Linked DNA regions of Lepisosteus oculatus. The protein of the gene in region 2 binds, or shares a complex with, the protein of the main gene of each other region. Links are inferred from orthologs where the notes say so. Each region holds a gene or a part of one and is shown on either strand. Other genes may lie near its edges. The genes, in order: cpsf4, cpsf3 and cpsf2.

Region 1 (7,781 bases), on a different chromosome or scaffold from region 2:
ATCTACTTTAGTAATGTGCATGGCTGTTTTTCTTACCTGCATATCAGACAACAACTGCAGGCCGTCTTTCTGGGTCCTGCAAGCTATAGCCAGGCTACAGAAAGTATGAGTATTAGCTTCCAGAGCTCTCTCAGACACAACAGATAACAGAGCCTGAAAGAAAAGAATAATTTTAAGAGTTAGAGAAGACCGCATTGAATTATGGCACTTAACACAATGCAGCACAGTACAATGCAGACTCCTCTTTACCTTGGCTCCTTCTAGATCACCCAGTTTAGCCTTTTTCCGAACCCAGGTGTTGAAGAATAAAATGTCTGGTTTTAATCCATGTTCTTCAAAGATGGACAGCAAGCTGGATTCTGACTGGCTTCCAGATTCCACGATGTCAGCTAACAAAGTCAGAGTTCTGATGTCAGGTTTCAGTCCGTGGCCTTTCATCTTGCTAAGAAAACCTTCCATGTTGCCCATCAAGGCCAGCCTGTCAGAAGCACTCCTGACAGACCCAAGGGAAATAATATTTGTGTAATCAATTCTCAGGTCAAGTAGGTTCGGTAGACTCTCACTGGTCACTGAAGACAGGGGGGAAGTAGATTCAATGGGAGTAACATGGTTTCTGTTCACAGGCACCAAGTCTGAAAATACATCTTGGTTCAAGTACTTCTGATTCGGGTTAAGGTCATTTTCCATCACTGGCTTGTCTAACATTTCCTCGTTTAAATGAGCAGTTACATTTCCAACCTGCAGCGATTCCTCTCCCCTCCTAGTACTTGCTTCCAGAAAAAGCTGGCTTTCGAGAGCATCAACATCTAGGGTTGCTGCACATGTCCACTCCTTTCCATTTTTCACCTTCTGACCTCTTCGTCCTCTCGTGACCTTTGGGGTTACTGCCTCTTCATTACTCAGCAGTAGACGGGAAGCCACTGAGGAGTCCCCTATCCCACAATCCCGAGCAGCACGAAGTAGCAGGTTGTAGCTGTGAGAATTAGGTTCTATCCCTACTTTTAGCATCTGACGCCAAACCTGTGGAGCAGATTACAAGAAAATGTGAGACCATTTAGCAACACCATTAAAATGGTTTAATTAAATGTACAGCTTTTAGCATAATGGTGCACAACAATCTAGGAAGTACGGTGCTACCCCAGAGAGACTCAAAAAATGATCGTTTTAAATTTAGAGAATGTTAATATTCTTCAAATTGTACATATCATTCATATCATGTAATTAATCCATTAATAACTCATAAAAGAGCTTTACTATGAATACTCTGTACAATATAAAAATTGTTGTGAAGTTGCTTTTGCAACAGGAAGCTAGGATATTACTTTTGTGATCCGTTTCACATGGGATAGAGCAGTTTGTTGAGATGATCAAATGGAAGTCATTCTCTCTCACCTGCAGTGCAAACCTAAATCCATGCTCTTTATCTTTGAGGCAGCCCATAAGCAGGAAGTTGAAGGTTTCTTGTGTGATCGCATGGCCTTTTTGAACTATCTCCTACAAAGACAACAAATAATATTTCTCGAAGCAGAATAAACTTGTGCCTGACACACTACCAATAACAGCTCTAACCCTAACTGCATCCCTAACTTCACCAAAGATTCAACCTTAGCCTTGGCTACAAATTTAGTCCTAACATTAGAGACAAAACCATCTCCAACTTAAATTCTTCAGCTGAGTTTGGTTTAATGACAAGGCAATGTGCATTGCTTTTGGTAAAGATCAGTTTTGGCCTGACTTTCTGCCAAGTACTACACTATTCTATGAGGGGAAAAAAGCCTTCTAACAAGAGCTATGATCCTGAAGGAGTTGCGTCACCAAAGAGGGATCATACACCCCAAATGGCAGACCTGGTACCTTGAAAACGTGGAAGCAGGCCCTGAGATCAGAGCACAGAGCATGGGTCTTAAGCAGGGCATGGTAAGTGATGAGGTTGAGTGGAATGTTCTTCCTCTTCAGCTCGTGCTGGAGCTTGAGGGCTTGCTGTAGCCCGGAATCCTTCCAGGGAGACTCGGCACAGGCATTGAACAAAGCAGTGTAGGTGGCATCTGTGGGCACCAGGCCTCGCTTCTTCATCTGCACACAAAGACAGACATGCATTTACAGAACTTGCATGGCACCACTCTTCCATAGGCATACTAGACTCCGTAATTAAAGAGGCTGTGCAGTCATCTGGTTTTTCTTCCTCTTAGAGCCCTTAAATAGTCATTTTTTCATTCTAACAGTTTTGCCAGATGTAGGCTACTGATGATTTTAAAATATGCAACTTTCCTTACACACAACCCTTCAGGCGGAGCAGTGGCTCTGTGGCTAAGGATCTGTGCCTGTGACTAGAAGGTTGCCGGTTCAAATCCCGCAGCCGGCAGAGGAATCCTACTCTGTTGGGCCCCTGAGCAAGGCCCTTAACCCCAACTGCTCCAGGGGCGCGGTATAATGGCTGACCTCTGACCCCAAGCTTCTCTCCCTGTCTGTGTGTCTCATGGAGAGCAAGCTGGGGTATGCGAAAAGACGAAATCCTAATGCAAGAAATTGTATAGGGCTAATAAAGCAACATTATCATTATTATTATACACTAAATATTTGGATTTCAAAATGCAATTCTACTACACTTTATTTAGTGTGGATTTCCACAGTGGAAGAATTTATGGGCATACATTCTAGGGCAGAGTCAAATCTCAACAAGTCGGCAAGCTGGACAAGGGTGGAGCTTTTTCACACCCCCTTAACTTACATCATTGTAGAGTTTAAAAGCCTTTTTGAGGTAGCCCACTCGGCCGCAGCCCCCAATCAGCACGGTGTAGTTGTACTCCTCTGGCTCGAGGCGCTCAGCTTTCAGCATCTGCGTCTCAAACATGTCCAGAGCCTCAGCAAGCTGCAGGATGAGGAGAGAATCCTCTTCAGAACAAACCAGGGATTTTCTTTTCCAGACGCACACGACACCAAAACACTGGCGCTTGAGAATCAGGATTAGCACATTTTACAAGAGTTTTTTTTCCTCATAATTATAACCATTATACACAGTCTTTTTCATACTTTAAGCAGTGCTGAAACGCAAACAGTGTAAAACCAGCTCCGGGGACAGGAGTTAATTCATGTGCACACCGAAATAACCTACAGAGTTTGAGACTGCATTCTTTTAAAATCCAGACTGAGAAGCAAAACAACAAATCCGTCTTACCTTGTTCTGCTTCAGGAGCTTCTTACACTGAAGAAAGTACCAGTAAGTGGTGTTTCTTTGCACTGGTCTGGACACCACCTCCTCTTCCTCCTCAGCCCGACTTGCATCTCTGTACTTCAGATCCAGCAGCTCTGGCGACATTTTACGGAAAACTTTCCGGGATCCATAGGATTTGGCAAAAGACCCAAAATCCTTCTCAGCTTGGTCAGACCCCTCTAGTTCCACACATGTGGGCACTGGGTCACTGGTTCTCTCAGACATCGGCGCACTGTTCTGTGTCACCTTAGCACTGTGACAATTCTTCAGGGAGGATGAAACACTGACATTTCTTGACTGTGCAGCCCTGCCTGTCCCCAAAGAATATGTCCTTAAGTGGGGAAGGCGGCCTCCTGGAACCTCTTTACAGGTCAGAATAGACAAGGCAGGGGGGATACTTAGATATTTTGAAATAGAATGAAGACCCGCATTGCAGTGGTTTCTGAAGCACATCAAGGACAGAAGCTTAGACATTCTTAACGTCGGACAACTACACTGAAAGAGAAAAGAAACTATTAGTTATTACCTTACTAAAAAATGGTATCATCGGAGTGTCGAGGTAATAACATGCTGTTTCACTTTAATTGCGTTTTGTGTAAATTAAATACATGAAGTACTGTTCATATGAATACCATATATACTGTTATATCTCTGTGCATACAAAGAATACAATGTCCTTTAAATCCTTCCAAACAAAAATTCGAAAACCATATAAAACTAGACTGTCACAAAGCGGTCGAGTTCAGCAAAGCAACGTGGCTGTCAAGCGATATAAGAAGACTTTTCTGTGCTCAGAGATGTGGTGCGTTTCGAAAATAAATATTTCGAATTACTTTAAACCGTACTATCTTTTATTCCACAACGTTACAAGCAGGACCCACTAAAGCAAACTCCGAAATCCAGTGTGATTTAAGTATTACAAGCCTCTCAAAGACAACAGCAAATTTAAAAGAGACAGTTAAGAAGGAACTAGGTCTTAAGCATCATATGAAAAACGATTTGAAAAACCATTACCTTTGATAAATCTTAGTGCATTTCAGTGTTCCTCTGTCGAGCCCTTCAGATCCTGAGTGTAACAACTAGAAATAGACATAAATACAGCAACCACCATCCACACGAGACAAGGACCTGAAGATCACGGGTAAGGACTACAAAAAGACTCCCGAAATGTCGATATATCGACACACGACAACATTTGATACTTGTATTAATAATTAAACCTAGATGATATTATCATTTTCTCTTATTTTTAAATATCTCTCTCTCTCCTGTTATGTGAAATATTTGTGAAAATATTAATATCCGCGTTATTCAGAATAAAAAAAAACGAAATTATGTTATTTATAGAAATAGTGTAATTCATAGTGTAGTTCGATTCCATAACGCAATCAACTCACATGAAACGAGTTACAATTTAAAGCTGTTATTTGCGCTTCTGCGCAGGGATCGATTAGCCAGGTCTATAGCTAGGTCAGAGTTCAGAGTTCAGAGTTCAGGTCCGGGGTGTTTCGGCGATAGCGAGGCAGCGAATCGGGAAAGGGTGAAGAGAGCCGTGTTTTATATTTGTGTTTTGTCTTATTTCGCGTTTTAATTTTCCGATTGTTTTATTTATTAGTTTTTCACCCCAGTGGTTCGTTCTTCACCACGGATCAAAGATGCAGGAGTTGATCGCCACGGTAGATCATATTAAATTTGATCTGGAGATTGCCGTTGAGCAGCAGCTGGGAGCTCAACCTCTGCCTTTCCCGGGCATGGACAGTGAGTTTGAACTACGGATACTTCCTCGGCGTCTCTGGTCCAGTCCAGAAAGGAATTAAAAAGGATTGCAGGCTGCTACTAACTCTTATTCCCTTGCCAGAAAACACAGTGTAATAGTATGGGCAAAGTGTACTTTTAAATGGATTAAGAGTATATTCAGCTTTTCAATAAAGAGTATTTAAACTCTAATGTTTGATTGTTTATGATTTTCCCTAGAAAAGAAACCCTTCCCGTGCCCCGATTTGTAAATGTAGAATTGAAGTAAAGATTGCAAGCTAACAGTCTCAAGTTTTTATAAATAAATACATTTTATACAATAAACGGAAACGATAATGGTGGAGCCCGTTCCCCTCTATTATACTGGACGAACAATACAGCGGCTATTACATTTTAATTTAAAATGGATATTTTTGATACTCTGGCTAATCGAGCAGGGTAATAGCATCAGCTTGTTGTATTTCGCCTTCAGAGTCCGGTGCCGCTGTGTGCGAGTTCTTCCTGAAAGCTGCCTGTTTAAAAGGTAAAGACACTCACGCCTTCGTCACATTTATTCACAAGACTTTCCTAACATTGACGAGGTCGATTTTTTTGTTTTAGGGGAAATGTTGATGTTGGGGAAGAATTCTTTCACAAGATTCCTAACTTGTTAATGTTGGGGAAGGGCGCCTTCGCGATCATTTTTTTTTTTAAACGTGCAGAAGGTTCCTGGAGACCTGTTGTCATTTTTGTCCTGAAGGTGGGATGTGCCCTTTCCGGCACATCAGCGGAGAGAAGACGGTGGTCTGCAAACACTGGCTGAGAGGGCTCTGCAAGAAGGGGGACCAGTGCGAGTTCCTGCACGAGTATGACATGACTAAGATGCCCGAGTGCTATTTCTACTCCAAATTCGGTAGGTGCCCTGCGCTAGCTAGCGTAGACTGAGCTTTGTGATGCTTGCATTGTGGGGTCTTCTTGTTTACAGACCTGTATTGGAGGAGCAGGGTTCATTTCAGTTAAAATAATACAAGGACCATATCTCCGGGCGGTTGACAGGGGCGAGAGGTGTGCTATATGAGGTTCGAGTAGGGAGCTGCAAAGAAACAGGTAAAGGTTTATTCCATGCTGAAAACAGACGTTTCGGCTGCGAAGCCCTCGTCAGGTGTGCTATATATTTGTTATTTTCACTTTAACGGTGTATTGATCCACTTAAGAAGAAATAATATACCTGTTCCTGCAAGCCAGCCTTGTATGGGATGTAATCTCTGTATGTGTGAGAGAGATGAAGCAAGTTCTTACTTTGCTTGCTTCCCTTTAGACTCCCTCTTAAAAACATCAGATCTGCTTATTGTACGGTCCACGTGAGCAGAGGTAACACACCATTAATGCTTTGAAAACAAAACATCAATGTATGTAAATATAATAAAGGCAAGAATGATTTCCTTCGCTGGAGAGTCTTTGCTGGTTAAACACTACTATAACAATAAGAAACAATAAGAAAACACAGTTAGTGTAAAGTTGTACTTAAAATGATCAGTTAATAGTGAGCAGTGTATATTATTAACCCAGGGAAGCTAACTGTAAATGCACCAGGGACAAGATGTGCAGCGTCTTTGGTTCAGCAGTGACTGAGCTCTCTGGGACTGTAAATCCTTTGGTGCTTGCAGGAGAGTGCAGTAATAAGGAATGCCCATTCCTGCACATTGACCCTGAATCAAAGATTAAAGACTGCCCCTGGTATGACCGAGGATTCTGCAAGCACGGTAAGTATTTTTTTTAAAAACAACACTCTAAACTACTAGACGTTTACCATGAGAAAGAGACTTGACGTTTCACCCAGAACAAATGAGCTGGATTGTGAAGTAAAATGTATTGGTTCAGCCACTTTAAGTCAGAAAGGGATATGTTGACGAGCAAGTTCCAAACTGTACAAAACTGAACCTCTGTAACAATTACTGAACTGCTCGCTAGTCTTGTCAACCATGTCTTCCATCTGACCACTTTACTGTGTTAGTGTCTTAGATTCTTTGGATTCGAGTTGCTCATATTCAGTGGAGGCATAGACTTGTCACCTGGACAGACTGGCTGAAACTGGGAGACACATGTAGCCATGTGGCTCAGAGACTATCAGTGGGATTCCTTCTGCAGTCACAGAATTCTCCTGTTGAAATACCCTTGTGCTCATCATGTGGTCATTCATTCACAGGTCCCCAATGTAGACACAGACACACTCGGAGAGTCATCTGTGTCAACTACCTGGTTGGCTTCTGTCCAGATGGACCCAACTGTAAATTCATGCAGTGAGTACAGACCATTTTTAACAACAGTATTGATCTGGTGTCACAGCTCAGCAAATTGAAATGTGGGAAGGTAAGATAAGATAAGATCACTTCATTAGCCCTATACAATTTCTTGCATTAGGAATTTGTCTTTTCACATACCCCAGCTTGCTCTCCATGAGACACACAGACAGGGAGAGAAGCTTGGGGTCGGAGCGCAGGGTCAGCCATTTATACGGTGGCCCTGGAGCAGTTGGGGTTCACGGCCATGCTCAGGGGCCCAATGGAGTAGGATTGTTCTGCCGGCTGCGGGATTTGAACCGGCAACCTCCCAGTGCAGATCCTTAGCCACAGAGCCACGCCTTGTCCCTGGTGATGCCCACTGTGTCACATTAACATGTTGGTATGTCCATTCACAGAGGCTAAGTTACAGACATGATCAAATACACATTTCCAATTTTACACATTAGCAAACTGATCCTTAAATCGGTATTCAACCTCTGAAACAGCTGTTTAATTGTACTTTAGTGATTTCAGCTTCTTGGTAATATATTCTT
Region 2 (6,927 bases):
GGGTAACACCCCTACTCTTTTCGAGAAACAGCCTGGGATTTTCAATGCACACAGAGTCAGGACCTCGGTTTTACGTCTCATCTGAAGGACAGCACCTTTTTTACAGCAAAGTGTCCCCGTTACTATGTGGGAATATGTTTTTCTTTGATAAAATCTGTTGCAGTTGATTAATGAAAATATTCACTTTATTCAAGTACAGTTACAATATCAGAAGTATTACCATTATGCAAGATAATTAAATAATTAGCCCCACTAAATAACTGAGAGCTCGGATGGAATAAAAACCAAATGGCCCTTAGAGTATGATGTCTGCCCTAGTCAGTCTGTGGTCAAAGGCGCACTGTAGAAACTAGAAAAGGGCTCCTGGTCTGTCTCACTGTCTCTGCTATTGAGCACCAGGTGTAGACTGCCCAGCCTCTCTGGAAGGATTTGAAGGTTGTGGAGGGCTAGGAGCACCTGCACACAAACACAGTCTAAAAATGTGTCTCCGTTGAGAGCTCATATGTCTGCTAGGTTCTGCGAAAATGAACATCCTACTAGGGCTGCCAGACAGTAAATAAAGAATAAACCGACGCTGTCGGACGTAATGGTTTATCACACTGCTTCCAATTTAAAACTCATCCACTCACATTTGAGCACGAATCACCTGACAGCTGAAATACCTGCTTAACAGTCCCTAGGGAACACTCACAGCATTTTTTAGAAATGTAATAATAGTGTAGACTATTTTGAGTTTTTTTTCCTAATTCATCCTGACTCTTTGCAAAAAGTCGATTGTAACAGTCAACTGTTCACACCACCACTTGTCTTCCATTTAGAGGCAATACGCAAGACTTGTCCTGCCTCTCAATGAAAACAGCTCCTACTGCATGCGGATGCCGTTTGAATTTCCTGTTTCCTATGCTGGAATGTCTCTACATGTTCTTCAACCATTAACATACTGCCTATTACTGTCTCTGCAGGGGTTACAGCCACTACGACCCGACTGACAATCCTACAGCAGCTGTCTGTACGGTCTCCTGAGGCTTTGCGGTCTCCATCTGTCACTCTCCGGTTTCCTCTGCTCGGAGGTTTGACTCGTGTGAATTCGCTTAACATTTCTGAACTGCAAAGGCGTGAGGCCGAGTTTTTTTTCCTGTTGCATCTGACAGGCTTTTAAAACAGTCTTTGTGAGAGAGAAAAGAAAAAGAAGTTCGGGACAATGATATAGGTGCACTCATCTGTCTCGATCTTCCCGCTGAGCTTGCCGATACGAGAAAGAAAACTAGAACAAACGGTCCCAAACATCAAACTGAAGCACTTTAAGTAACAAGAGCCATACTGAGTGGGATGCAATTTTGTACAGCCTCACAATCGGGCTGACATAAATAATCCTACCGCTCTCCCTGCCAAGTCCACTTTCGCACAACTTGCCTACAATGTAACTTTGAAGCCAGCGCGGCGTGAGAAACGCACAGCAGGTGAATGACACACAGCGGGCATCTGAGAGTCGAGCTCACTGAGAATTTCAACCCACCGTCCTCAGATCGTTAATTAAAAAAACTCCCAGCTGAAGTAACGGAAACCCGTTGCCAGGCTAAACTCTCCACCCCACCCACAACCCCCTCATCGCATCCTCGTTTCATTGACATTTCTTTCCAATCACCTTTTAACCGCACAGCCCTTCACCGTAAATCAGAAAACTGGCAGGTCGGACTGATGAGATAATTCAAGCAGCTGTTCAACTCATACCTCGTTTTATACGTGTTTAACGAGCCCGTTCGCGACGGGGCTGGGCGTTATTTCGGCCAGGCTTGTAGTCTCCGGGTCTGTGTTTTTGGCGAGGCTCGGGCAGACACGTCACTTCCTTTGGGCTCCACCCACACCGCTTAAAGGAGACGCGACCCACACAACCCCCCCGGCGAACCGGGCCCGAATCGCGGGTCGTCACGGCGCTGTGTTTGTGTGGTGAAACCCCATTCCTATTCCCGGCGTCGTGTGGCGCAAACGCCAGACAGCAGGAAGTGTGTTTATGTCTCCATGGCGACGGTCACAATTGGAAGGGCGCGCTTCGTTGCTTGTTGTAAGACGGACGAGTCCAAACCCGAGGCTCTCAAATTGAAACTAAGAGCGCTTTATTCTTTGGCACGGCCGATGAATTACAGGGTGGACAGCGAGGCCGGAACAATTAGCACGGCATTTACAGTAGCTCCAGAGATGATGGCGTGAGGCGCAGGTCCTGATTCACGTCACTGTCTCTCAGTGCGTGTTCCCGCTACTACAAACTCGCGGGAATCGCGTCACACTTTAAATCACCGCTTTATCCAACTGAGGGTCGCGGGGCGTGTAGGGCGTAAGGCAGGGTACGACAGCAGAGCACATACGCTCACACCAGGGCTAATTTCCCCAGGAGCCAATTAACCTACTACTACGCTCTGCACAGACAGCACCCCAGGTCTGGGATCGAACCCAGGCCCGCTGGGTGGACGCTGTGAGAACATGCATACTCCCCCCAATAAGGTGACCCAGACCAGATCTAGCCCAGGGTCCAAACGTTTGTGAGGAAGCAACAGTGACCTTCATGGCCCATTCCTGCCCTGACTTTAACATCCCGCCTGCAAGTGATCACAATTAAACTGCTCCAGGTCTTCAGAATTCCCATCTACCCAGATTTTTGGATTACTTAATAGCTATCTGTAAAATCAACAACACAGAGCGCCTAATACCACTTTGAATTCAAGGAAATTGATTTGCAGCCTTTCCATTTTTTATTTTCTGGCGTTTAAACGGATAATGACAGATTCATAGTTTTAATTTTGTTTACAAATTGAAATTCGTTTAAGATAAGTTTAAGCTTCTACTATATGTTGTTGTCTGTGTGTATCAGCGTGTTATTGTTAGCAGGATTGAATACTGATATATTACCAACTAGTTGTCTAACATAAGAAAGATTACAAATGAGGGGAGATCATTCAGTCCATTTAGCTTGTTTGGTAGTTAGTAGCAACTTGATCTAGATTCCAGATGATTTAGTGTGTGGCTTCTACAACATGGCTGGGTAGTTTGTTCCAGACTCCCACAACTCTTTGCGTAAAGTTATGCCTCATGTTCTCAGTTTTAAATGCACCTCCATGTAGTTTCTACTTGTGTCCCCTGGTTCATGTTTCACTGCTCATTCTGAAGAAATCTGCTGGGTTGACTTTGTTGAAGCCTTCGAGAAGCTGGGATACTTGTATCAGGGCCTCTCAGAATTTCGTCCATTTAAGAATAAAAAGGTGCAGGTCTTTCAGTCTGTCAGTGTAGGACATTCCCAGAATGTATCGTGTTGGTCTTCTCTACAGCCAGCCATGTAACGGGAGCAGGGCAGGATACACCCTGGATGCGGAAATCCTAACCACTGCATCACCCTGCCACCCTGCAATTGCAGCTGAAATCTTTTCATTAAAACTGCTGATGCTTCACTGAAAGCTGGCTTATTGAAATTCTGTTCTTCGAGTTTTCAGAACACATCACGTTTAAGTATTAGTAGTACTTAAATAAAAAGGTTACTTTAACAGAGAGCGTTGAGTAAGGAGAGGACATATGTACATTTTGATGTGAATACACCCATCACCGTTGGATTCTATGTCCCAGATAGAAAAATATGTTTCAAGGAATATTTTGCGGTTTATTGAAATACTTAGTGATACTCGAAAAGTCTAAACTGTAGTAATGAAGAACTATACTCTCTAGAGTTTTTATGCAGTAGGTACACACAGACTCACTGCGTGTATTCCGTTAGTAACAATGATGTCGGAACCAAAGATCGATAGGGATAGTTTCAGTAGGGACGTATTTTGCACGCAGAACCGGAAGTTGTCCTGTTTCGCGCAAGTGATTATGAGGCAGAGTGGTGCTCCAAGTTTTTGCTGTTAACATTGTTTCATGACTTATGAAATAGAACTGGTTGTTTAATGGCTGCGAAGCGAAAAGCCGATATTTTGGTACCAGCGGAGGAAAGCGATCAGTTATTAATTAGACCCCTGTAAGTGTGCTGTGGTTTGCGTTTGTGGGTTACAGTGAACAGCCATGAGTGCCTGTGTAATGTGTCGCGGGAGATTCAGTAAGGAGCAGTGCACCGGTATAGAAAGTAGTATGTCCAGTTGTGTAAGAGTATTTCCCACGGAAACTATTAATTTGGTGCAGACGAACGCATACTACATTGTCGGCTACTCGAAATTATTTTTGTGTTGATTTTCATTTATGTATATTTTGTACGTAATACAACGTGTAATTGTATGTAATTGATTGATACAAGTTTTCTAAACATCACAAAGACCCTTATGTACTCTTGATGATTGGGAACAAAAACAGTTCGGATACATTTCATTATACATTGGGGGTTTATCTATACAGGAATCTCAACAGAGAGTTCTTAGGTCTCTTACAGTTTTATTCATTTATTTAGTAGTCTAAAATAAATGTAGACGCAAAGGAAACCAGACTGATGTTCACATCAGTAAAGTTCATTAGTCTTAGTATTATAAGGTATTTGCTTGGACCAGTACAACTCAGTTTTCTGTTGCATATGTGGTTCCAAAATCTATTTTCCAGATGTATATCATTTTAATAGTTTTAAAAAGACAGATTCTCAATAAATAGGGTGTGCAGACTTAACCAAGAGATTAAGAAAGCTTCATTTTACAATGTTTCTCTGGTGCAACAAATCCTAGGTTCCTTACTTAGATTTCTTGAAAAAGAGAACGCACGTTTGAACTTTGTGAACATTATCTATTGGGGGACTTTTAAAGCTGTTATTGTTTTTTTCATGCTAAGCTGCTTTTTACTTTTGAATTCCCTAAAATTGTTCGTTTTGTAAATGCGGTGCATTCTTTGAGTGTACATTGTGCAGGTTTGGAAATTGGAAAAAAAGGAAGGCTCTGCACTTGCTTCATGCAGTTCCTCCTCTCGAGTCTCGAATTAAAGAAGGGTGTTCTGTTTTTCATGGTCCCCTCAGTGGCGCCGGACAGGAAGTGGGAAGATCATGCATCATCTTGGAGTTCAAGGGAAGGAAGATCATGGTAGGACACTGCCTGCTCTGTCTCAGGCTCCCCCTGCGGGGTGGGGCAGACACTCGGTGTCACAGTTCTGTGGCGGGTGGGTGACACCTGGAGAAGAGGTGCCATGCGCTGTCTCTCTTTCCCCAGCTGGACTGTGGTATCCACCCAGGCCTGGAGGGCATGGACGCGCTCCCCTACATCGACTTGATAGACCCCGCGGAGATTGACCTCCTCCTGATCAGCCAGTTTGTACCACCAGCCGCTCCGGTCGCCCTCAGCCCTGGCCCCAGAGCACCCCTTTGTCTTTTAGCCAGTCCTTGCCTTCCTTTAATCGGTCAGGCTAATTCCTAGGAACAGCCACTTCCTGGGTTTCAAGCCCATTTCAGTTCCAGTGTCGAATGTAAACAGTTCAACTTGGGCAGAACACAGAGGTGCAAATATTGCACAGATATTTTCTCTTGTTTTATGGAAAGAGCAAAACTTGTTGGGATGGTCTGATACAGTGTTGTTCCCCTCAACACAGTGTTGTTGACACCTTGAATTAGGCATCTAATAATAAGGGCTTTTTAGATTTGCATAAACACTTAATAGGTTGCTGCCTCTGAATATGCAAGGGGAAGAGAGGGGACAGCACTCTGTCTGCTGTTTTTTTTTTGTAAAAGATCTGCAGAAGAGTATTTTTAAAACTGAAGAATGAGCATAGAAGAAGGTTAAAAAAGTCGGACCAAGCAAGAATTTCATTTACAGATGCCATCAGCGGGTCTTGGGTGGTTAAAGGCTTTGCTGAAGTGAAAACATGATAACACAGGGGAGCTCCAGGACAAGAACTGACAGTCATCCTTCTGCCCAAAGAGACGTGCCCTTATTGAATTAAGACGTGTGCCAGTTCGTTATTGAAACATGCATATTGTGTCTGGTAGTTTCCACCTGGATCACTGTGGCGCTTTGCCCTGGTTCCTGCAGAAGACCAGCTTTAAGGGGAGGACATTCATGACTCACGCCACAAAAGCCATTTACAGGTGGCTGCTGTCAGATTATGTTAAAGTCAGGTGGGTGATTGTTTTTGTTTTTCTTCTTATGACAGGAAACCTCAGCATATTACTGTATGTGGATTGAAAAACGTACAATGTGTTATCAGAGTTTATACCAATAATTCATTGTTAGACTTGGATGGATCCACGTGCGAGATATTGTTAGATGTAGTGTTAGATGTCTGTCATCCTTGTATATTTTTCCTTCATCTCGTTCATCCTGTATGTGACTTCTTTCCTTTCCTGCTATGCAGTAGGGTGACCAGAAAGCTGCTTTTCCAAAGTCAAAAATTGACCTTTTTGCCAAGATTGATGTTTATGTGCCACAGAAATATAAGATCAAAGGGAACATCTGCAAAAACAATGCAGTGTGACTTAATTACCTCAAGATCACTTCAAGTATCCTTTAAATGTCCGATTGCTGTTTCTGTTTAAACACTCCCTGCCTGTTCTCTTTGACCATAGCAACATTTCAGCGGATGACATGCTGTACACAGAGACAGATCTGGAGGAGAGCATGGACAAGATAGAGACGATCAACTTCCACGAAGTGAAGGAGGTCGCAGGCATCAAGTTCTGGTGCTACCACGCGGGCCATGTTCTGGGGGCGGCCATGTTCATGATTGAAATCGCTGGTGTGAAGGTGGGACTTTGCCCTACGCTACACTGCTCTTTAACTGGAGCTGTTCGGTGCGGACGAGATTGTATTTTTGCTCCTGAGCCCTAAACACAGAAAAGCTGTAGTTCTGCTAGAGTAGATATGTGTTTTTAAACATTAAGATATCCTGCATTTTTCTTCAGTCTAGTAATATGATAGACTTAGTTTTCTGTAATGTCGTGGAACTTTGTCTTTGGCCTTTGTTTGTTCTGTTAAGGCA
Region 3 (8,090 bases), on a different chromosome or scaffold from region 2:
ATTTCCTTTTCAGTGTGTTGGAAAGGAAACATTTTTCCCCTAAGTTACAACTTAAAACAGTTACAAAATGCATACATAGAAACAAGTTGGTAATAAAATCTTTGACCTTCTAGGTGATTTGTTAAATTGTACTTCTTATGAAAAACATTTTTACCTGACCTGACGAACCTAGGGTGGCAACTGGGGTGGTGCTCCGGTTTCCTCAAAGACTCCAAATATATACTGGGAGGTTCATTGGCTTCTGGGAAAACTGCCCCAGGTGTTAGTGTGTGTCTGTGTGTGTCCTTTAGTGGACGGGTGTCCTGTCTGGGATGTCTTGCCTTCATGTCTCCTCTTGCCTAAGACCCTTTACTTCCCAGGATAGCTTTCAGCTTCCCCCATGATAGTGGTTAGAAAATGAGAGTATGGATGAATTGTTGGATGACAATATGCCAAAAATAAAAGAATTAAAGCTCTTGTTCTAATAGTTAATATTAATTCTAATAAGTCCAACCCTGGTCCTGAAGCGTTTCCATTCAGCAGGTTTTACAGGCAGCCCTTAAATCATCAATTTTTGCTGACCTGAAGCAATTTAACTGCAATCTGTTAAACAGGTGGAACAAAATTCAGAATATTATTCTTCACTCAGAAGACCAGAAGACCTAAATAGATCTGCTTCAACAAGTGTTTCTCTGATCTTTAAATAGCAGGTAATTTAGGGTGTCCTGTAAGGTTAACACAACTGGGGCTCTTCTTGCAAGGAGGGATCTATAGATGTTTGGAACACATTTCTCCAAATTTAGAATTGAAAATCAGCCTCCTAATAAAAGTAAGGACTCGTACAGGAATAGTGTTTTTGTTTAGCAAGAACTGACCAAATAAAATGCGTATTGGCATTTGTTGCGAGTATCCACCTGGATCACCCTGGACTCTTACGGACTTGATTTGAAACAGTTGTTCACTTCGTTGATCTCTATTAGCACTGTTTCTAGGTCTTTATTCACTGAGGATTAAATGTTTCCTGTAAACTCTGGTGAGGTGTGGCCTTCCAGGATCAGGAGTATTACTCTGGCCAAAGATTTGAAACGATCTGAATCTTGACAACATCCAGTCAGGCTTATGGAAATTCACTTTGCCATTTAGCGGCAAGCTGAAAGTCACACAGGCTAATTATAGTGTATGCATCAATACAAGATGAAGCCACATATAGGCTGATGCATGCATGTCTTCATCTTTCCTAATGTTGCAGTAGCTGGTTGCCAATTTCCTAATTTGCCGATTTGTAAATTGACAGGTTTAAACTTGTGTTTTTTTTAAATGCACCAGTACATACAGTAACAAAGATAGAATACTTTTTTCCCCCTCATTCTTATTTCTACTGGAAAAGCATAATCAGATACAAGGTAAGAGCCTCATCATAAACCAAGATGGTTCAGGACTTTGTAAAGGGGAAAATGAATTTCTTATTTGTATTCAACACAGTTTTTCCATGGAAGTATTTAGGTGTGGTTGTTGTGTTCAATATGAGTGCGCACTGTTGCTGGTTTGTCTCGACACCTTGTAAATGTTTCAGCCATTTCAGACTTGTGTTTTTGCATTTTCCTGTAATTCCCTGTTGTCTTACAATGTGCGACTGCGCATCCAGGAAAATGGGTACATTTTTCAGTTGGAGATCCACCATCAAATATTTCTCACCCAAAAGCTTAATTCTGGATGATGAACTGGGTAGGGTCCCTCACTGGAGATTTAGTAACATGAACAAAAGCACTTTTTTGAGGTTCATTTCTTTCAGAAAGGGGTGGGTTCCTGAGCAAAAGTTGTAACTTGTAAATGACTACCACTGTAAATCCCTAATTGCAGGATAATAAAACTAGACTCACTAAACATCTGACTCTGTGTATGGTCTTACAAGTTACTTGGGAACTACAGGATTGAAATGAATGAAAACTGTTATACTGGAACACCAATAAAGAAAAACATTTAACTGTCTCCAAGATAGCTGGAAGGTACATCTATAAACTTCACTTTTTCTTTTAAAAACTTGGGCAGTCTTTGCCAATTGCTGGGATTGAGAGTGGTAAGTAGCGGGTGGTTGGAGCTGCTGCATGAGAGCTCCTGCATCCTGGGAATGATCCCAGTCAAGGTGCAGCTTCTGTGAGGAGTTTGCATAATGAGTTAATACCAGATTCTCCAATTTCACCCATGATACAGAAACATGCTGGCAAGGTTAGTGGGTATCACTAATTTCCTCACATGTGTATGACTGGTCACCTGCCCAGTACCCCGTGCCTCCAGGCTACACAGTCTAATAATGCTTAATTTACATTCAATGGAAATAATCACAAGAATTGTAATAAGTGCCTGAACACAAACGGTACACACTCCTTTCAGATGGCACCATTCATAACATCTTATTCGGTTACAGACATTTCCTTTACATACACACAAACTTAAAAAAGGAAAAACACTTCTAGATTATTTATTTTTTTCCTGCCATTACATGTTATTACAAAACACATCTTCCAAAAAGCCACCACGTGAACAAAAACGCAGAATGTCACATCAGATCAGAAATGAAGGGAAATTCTGGCAAACGTTACATCAACATTTTAGAGGTTTCCGGTTTTGTGTGTTGATAGGAGAGGTTTACTTCCAGGTCACTTCCCCTGGTTTCAGTTCCCTGCAATTACAAGTTAAGAGCATCTTAATGAACCTTTCTAGCACATTTACTCACACTACATTCCTCAGACTGGTTTTAGTTTTGTCTTAAGGCAATCACATTTTTGCAAAGTGAAAGATTTATTGGCATCGGCAATGAATAACAGTGGTGATAAAGTAATAAGAAAAAAAAAATGCATTTTCATACCCGAGGACTTTGAGGAGCATAGTATAAGGTTGTGGGGAAAAAAAAATTATGAAAATCCAGGCAGGCTACCTATGTCCACATACATGTAGAAAGAAGAATTATTTAAAGGCTGCAATAATATTTAGTGTTATTGTAACCGAGATGATATCCCCTCTTTTCTCTTCATGAAACCTTCCCTTTCTCTTTGTGCTGACTCACCAGGGGGGATCACTCTCTGTGCCTCAGACTGGTGATCACATACTTTGCAAACTCTGTTCTTTACAAAACTAGCTTGAGAAAAATTTTTTTCAATAGTTCTGGACTTCTTAACTAATAAAGAGAACAGCTTTGAAGCAAGTACAAATTCTAAAAATCTAGTTTCAATATCACAATTTCATACTTTTCAATTGTTAAATGTGTAACTTTTCAAATGTTAGACAAAGACCTGTTTTTTGAATACTCTATACTGGGGAACACTAATTTTTCCAGAATGCTGCCTGAGTAAGGCACTGATTTCTGTCCTCTAAATCCCCTTAAGTCAGGATTGTAATTTGCTTATGAAATCTGAAGGGTTATGATATTCCATGACCAAGATGAATATAGTATTCTGCTTCTATATTGTAAAAGCAAAGGCACACCATGCGACCAATCAATGAAACCAACCTCTTGTACAACATGCTCTTGTTTCTAAAAGCTGTGAGTTTCTCATCATTCCTTCTGTCCATATAAATCCCAATCACAAAGCCAAGGGGGACGAGAACGTTGACCCAGTGCTCTCGTAACATATTCACCAAGTTCACCATGGTGCCTAGGAGACAAAATGCTCATTTGTGTTACAATCTAACAAAAGGTAGAGGTCAAATGGCTACTCAATGTAAAAGATGCTCAAATACAATTTTTACATCTGATAAATGCCTGTATTCTGAGAACCACGATCAAGCACATTGCTCCTGGCTCTTCTGCTCTGGCTTGTAGACAATGGCCAAATGCCACTGCTGAATTTCCAGTACAGCAGATTTTAGTCTTCTACTGCACAACACTGATGAAATACACCTGACTGAACATCTGCAGACACACAGAATGCGCAGTTATAATCTTGTCATTAATTGCAACCTACAACAACATCTTGGAAATATCAGAGGGTTCAATCAACACGGAAACTTACAAGCAAATTCTAGCAATTTAAACTTTTCACACTGTGTAGCTATTTGGCCTATAATAACAATTTAACTGTTCAGAACTGCATCACGCATAAAGTGGTATCTGACAGACATGAGCCTCCTGTGCCAAATTTATCATGCAGAATAGTGGAACAAATCTTATATAAAATTGTTAACATTTCGCACTTAATGTCCTATGAAAAATATCTTCTGTGCAGATCGATTCGGCTTCAAAAATACTGGTGAGATAACTTTTAATAACTATACTTAAAGATTCGAAAATATTGATATCCAAGTTTATGATGTCAAGCCAAAGCAAATTCTTAAACTGTCTCGTTTAATGAAGAAAACAGCTTTCTGATAAACACTAGTGATTAGATCATTAATGCATTACATTACAGCAACATTGTATTCGGACAGCGCTGAACACTCAGATCCTCAAGGAAACATCTGACTGGTTAATTTCTTTTAAACAATATTAAAATAACATTTCATATTTACGACGACATGTCAATAGCACTTTAATCGAAATAAGAGCAAAAGGTAAAACTAACTAAGCTAACAAATATGAATGAACTCTTTTACCTTCTGTATGGATTTTGATGTTCAGGCTTTTTATAAGACAAATATATAAGCTAGTAAAATAGAATCGTTAGATTTTAATTATTGTCAGTAAAAGGTCCTATAAGATTATCAGACAAAACAGTCTTTAAAACATAGGTTATACAATTAATGCGTTTTTCTCAGTTTCGCATTTTAACAATATATATACAACTCATACCTTCCCCTAGGTCAACCGAAGGCAGGCCCGACTAAGAGGACATTGGATTGAACCACTTTCTTAAAATGCGGGAAGAGTAAAGCCGTGAATGGGAATACTTACTACTTAAGTAATTTAAAAAGCAACAGAGATCATAACATATACATTGTAAATTATTATTGCTTTACATTTGTTTGCATAAATAACCGTGCCACCGATTTTTACCGAGAATATCTTGAAGTAAAAACCACCAAATCTGCAATGGTATATCCGGATAACCTTTCACCTCTATTTTAGTTTGCAATGGCCGCTTTGTGAGAGCCGGGTGTGTGGCTCATTGTACGCGTTTAAAATTATGTAATCTAAACATATATTTCATCGGTAAAAACCAGAATGTAAAGGTTAAACTTTGTGTTTATGAAGTGTTTTTATGGTATGTTTATATCAAATTTCGAAGGGTACATTTTAAGGTGTGTGGCCTGTCGTGATTGTTTATAGTTTTGCCCGTAATAACCATAAGCTTGTTATTGTCAGTATTTTTATTTGATCGTTCCCTATCTAATCAATTATTTTGATCTAATTGTCCCCCTTGCTACAGTAAGCAAGCCGCCACACTGAACCGAAACCAACTTTAAAAAAACAAGTTTATGGTGATTTCACAGAATGCAGTTCGGTCGTCTAATTGTTGTGTGTCGCTGTTTAATGTGGTCTTATGACGGTGTGGTATAACTTTAGAAATATTGCGATATTTACCTCGTTGTAAAATATGAAATTTAGTCTAATGCACAGCTACAGTGACAACGTATTACTCAACGAAGCGAAATGTTCGCAACTGAAGCCAAACATTTAGATAAAACAATTCCGCGGTGTATCGTCACAACTCTGCCTAAATATTTTCTCCTGGTTGATATTTTAAGGGAATAGGAAGTATTATAGAGTTCATATTTTGAGTTGTATATCGGTGTTAGTGTTTCCGATCAAATGAAAATGATAACACATGTTCATATATTAATTTTTTCGTTTGTAAATTCTTCCCCTATTATTTCCATAAGTGTGGCTCTGACCTAATATGTTTATTATCCTACAGTGTGCCAAGTGTTGCTAGCATAAAGCAAAATGACCTCCATCATCAAGCTGACGGCGATTTCAGGGGTGCAGGAAGAGTCGGCGCTGTGTTACCTGCTTCAGGTCGACGAGTTCCGCTTCTTGCTGGACTGCGGGTGGGATGAGAATTTCTCCATGGATATAATCGACGCAATGAAAAGGTCTGTTTACAGTATAACCTTACTTAATGGATAGATTCAGCTGTGTTGCTTATACAGCAGAACTGTGCGCTGACGACAAATTCTGCGCCGTGAACATCAGCCAGTGACATTTAACTAAGATCTGTAAGGATTTAAGTTTGTTTAATTTTTTTATTGCAGGCATGTCCATCAGGTTGATGCAGTGCTTCTCTCCCATCCTGATCCTCTTCACCTGGGGGCTCTTCCTTATGCTGTGGGGAAGCTGGGGCTGAACTGCACAATTTATGCTACCATCCCTGTGTACAAAATGGGACAGATGTTTATGTATGACTTGTATCAGGTAATGGAGACTTGTATCTCTTTTTGTCAGTAATAATTGAGTTATGAAGAGTCATGACGTATGTTTATTCATGCATTGAAAACATGACTTGTTGCTGCAAGATGCAAAACACTAGAAGATATTCTTCATTTAAATTACCAGGAGGCAATTATTTGGATTTGTTTAGGAAGTAATCCATTTTTACTATGATGTAGTTGCTGGAATTTATGTTTTGCTATGTACAATGATTCTTGTCAGTGATTTGTACACATGATACTTATTGAGGGGTGGCACAGTAGAATTTGATGCCTTAACATACATCCACTGCCCTTTCACTGGCTCCATATAAAAGAAGCATGTTTTATAGTCAGATAATATCCTGCCATGCATTTTCTAACTGCTTCATCCAATACACGGTTGCCGGGGAAACCAGACCATATCCTAGCAGGCAATGGGCACAAGGTGGGGTACATCCTGGATATGATGCCATTCCGTTGCAGGATGCACACAGACATGTGTACACTTACAGATAGGGCCAATTTTTCCCTGAAGCCACTAAACTTACCAGTATTTCTTTGGACTGTGGTAGGAAAACCACATGAACATGAGGAGAACATATAAACTCCACCCCTATGCTATCCACTTCACCCCTGTGCTGCACGCTATCATATATTGTGTGCTTATTCATAATGTATGATCTGATGTGTAATGTTATACACTTGTTATTTTTCATTTTGTTTTCTAAATGTCTGTCCTGGAAAATTACATATGAATGTTCTCAGGTGTTGTAGTGTTTGATGACCAGTGTCCATTTGTACCTAATGCTGGCAGTGGAGCTGAAGGCCATCTTGTCCAGTGTAACTCGCAGTTTCAAAACAGCAGCATTGTTTTAAGTGTAGTTAACCTGTAGAGGATTGTTGAGCACTTGGAACAGTGCACAATGTTGTTGTTTCTTAACAGCAGTTGTTGTATTTTTTCTTAGTCTCGTCATAACACTGAGGATTTCACCTTGTTCACCCTGGATGATGTGGACTCAGCCTTTGACAAAATACAACAGTTGAAGTATTCACAGATTGTCAATCTGAAAGGTACAAATCCTGCAGTAAACCAAATAATACAGATACATTTACAGATAATTTTACTTTTAACTCTTATTCTTAGGGGCCCCCTTAGAAAAATGTCTAGATATTACTAGTAAGGTCTTAGGTTCTACATATTTATTATAAACTCCTGATTTAATTTGACTGTTTCTCATTTTGAGGTTGCACATAGACTTGTTAGAAATAAGACAGATTTGCTTTGTCCAGTAGGTTTTCTTTGTTGGGGTGCTCAGGCATTTCACCTCACTTCTGTTTAATCAGCCCTTTTAAGTTGACCTTTTTAGTTGAACAGCTTTAACTATATATTTTTTTGTTATTGGTTTACAGGTTTGGAAACTTTTAATCAAATTAGGAATGGTACAAATTCTCTTACCATTGCTTGCTTGTCAGGCATAATAAGGGACTCCAAAAATATTGTAAATCAATAAATACATGTTATAAAAAGACCAATTATACAATTCATGAATCATATTGTTACAAATGGGGGGTTACGGAATTGACAGAGGTTTAGTCAGTAAGTAAAATAATAATTCTCAACTTCTAAGTGATTTCACCAGAATATACCTGAGTGGTTGGTATAATTGGAGTGAATTCTTTATTCTCTGACACAGCTTTGGTGAAAGGAGAAATGATCTAGGAACACTTGATTAAACAAATATTTATTACAATGACAAAACACAAAC

What was found.
Region 1: cpsf3 (region 2) and cpsf4 share a complex: the UniProt entries of both Homo sapiens proteins name them as parts of the cleavage and polyadenylation specificity factor (CPSF) complex. The link is inferred for Lepisosteus oculatus from reciprocal best matches to the Homo sapiens genes CPSF3 and CPSF4.
Region 3: cpsf3 (region 2) and cpsf2 share a complex: the UniProt entries of both Homo sapiens proteins name them as parts of the cleavage and polyadenylation specificity factor (CPSF) complex. The link is inferred for Lepisosteus oculatus from reciprocal best matches to the Homo sapiens genes CPSF3 and CPSF2.

The regions. Positions count from the first base shown.
Region 1 is NC_090714.1:10,876,026-10,883,806, reverse strand, and holds the start of cpsf4 (cleavage and polyadenylation specificity factor subunit 4), read left to right. Parts: upstream 1-4,696; 5' UTR 4,697-4,866; coding exon 4,867-4,969; intron 4,970-5,438; coding exon 5,439-5,489; intron 5,490-5,705; coding exon 5,706-5,858; intron 5,859-6,612; coding exon 6,613-6,708; intron 6,709-7,151; coding exon 7,152-7,245; intron 7,246-7,781. Other genes in the region: ptcd1 (pentatricopeptide repeat-containing protein 1, mitochondrial), read right to left, coding at 37-153, 250-1,020, 1,393-1,494, 1,855-2,073, 2,729-2,869, 3,176-3,685. UniProt on the Homo sapiens protein: Component of the cleavage and polyadenylation specificity factor (CPSF) complex that play a key role in pre-mRNA 3'-end formation, recognizing the AAUAAA signal sequence and interacting with poly(A) polymerase and other factors to bring about cleavage and poly(A) addition.
Region 2 is NC_090697.1:12,017,279-12,024,205, reverse strand, and holds the start of cpsf3 (cleavage and polyadenylation specificity factor subunit 3), read left to right. Parts: upstream 1-3,826; 5' UTR 3,827-3,932; coding exon 3,933-4,003; intron 4,004-4,975; coding exon 4,976-5,039; intron 5,040-5,165; coding exon 5,166-5,263; intron 5,264-5,938; coding exon 5,939-6,067; intron 6,068-6,514; coding exon 6,515-6,692; intron 6,693-6,927. UniProt on the Homo sapiens protein: Component of the cleavage and polyadenylation specificity factor (CPSF) complex that plays a key role in pre-mRNA 3'-end formation, recognizing the AAUAAA signal sequence and interacting with poly(A) polymerase and other factors to bring about cleavage and poly(A) addition.
Region 3 is NC_090703.1:23,280,307-23,288,396, forward strand, and holds the start of cpsf2 (cleavage and polyadenylation specificity factor subunit 2), read left to right. Parts: upstream 1-5,030; 5' UTR 5,031-5,214; intron 5,215-5,443; exon of another isoform or gene 5,444-5,462; intron 5,463-5,831; 5' UTR 5,832-5,860; coding exon 5,861-6,009; intron 6,010-6,168; coding exon 6,169-6,328; intron 6,329-7,289; coding exon 7,290-7,395; intron 7,396-8,090. Other genes in the region: NADH dehydrogenase [ubiquinone] 1 beta subcomplex subunit 1, read right to left, coding at 2,626-2,659, 3,488-3,632, 3,727-3,769. UniProt on the Homo sapiens protein: Component of the cleavage and polyadenylation specificity factor (CPSF) complex that play a key role in pre-mRNA 3'-end formation, recognizing the AAUAAA signal sequence and interacting with poly(A) polymerase and other factors to bring about cleavage and poly(A) addition.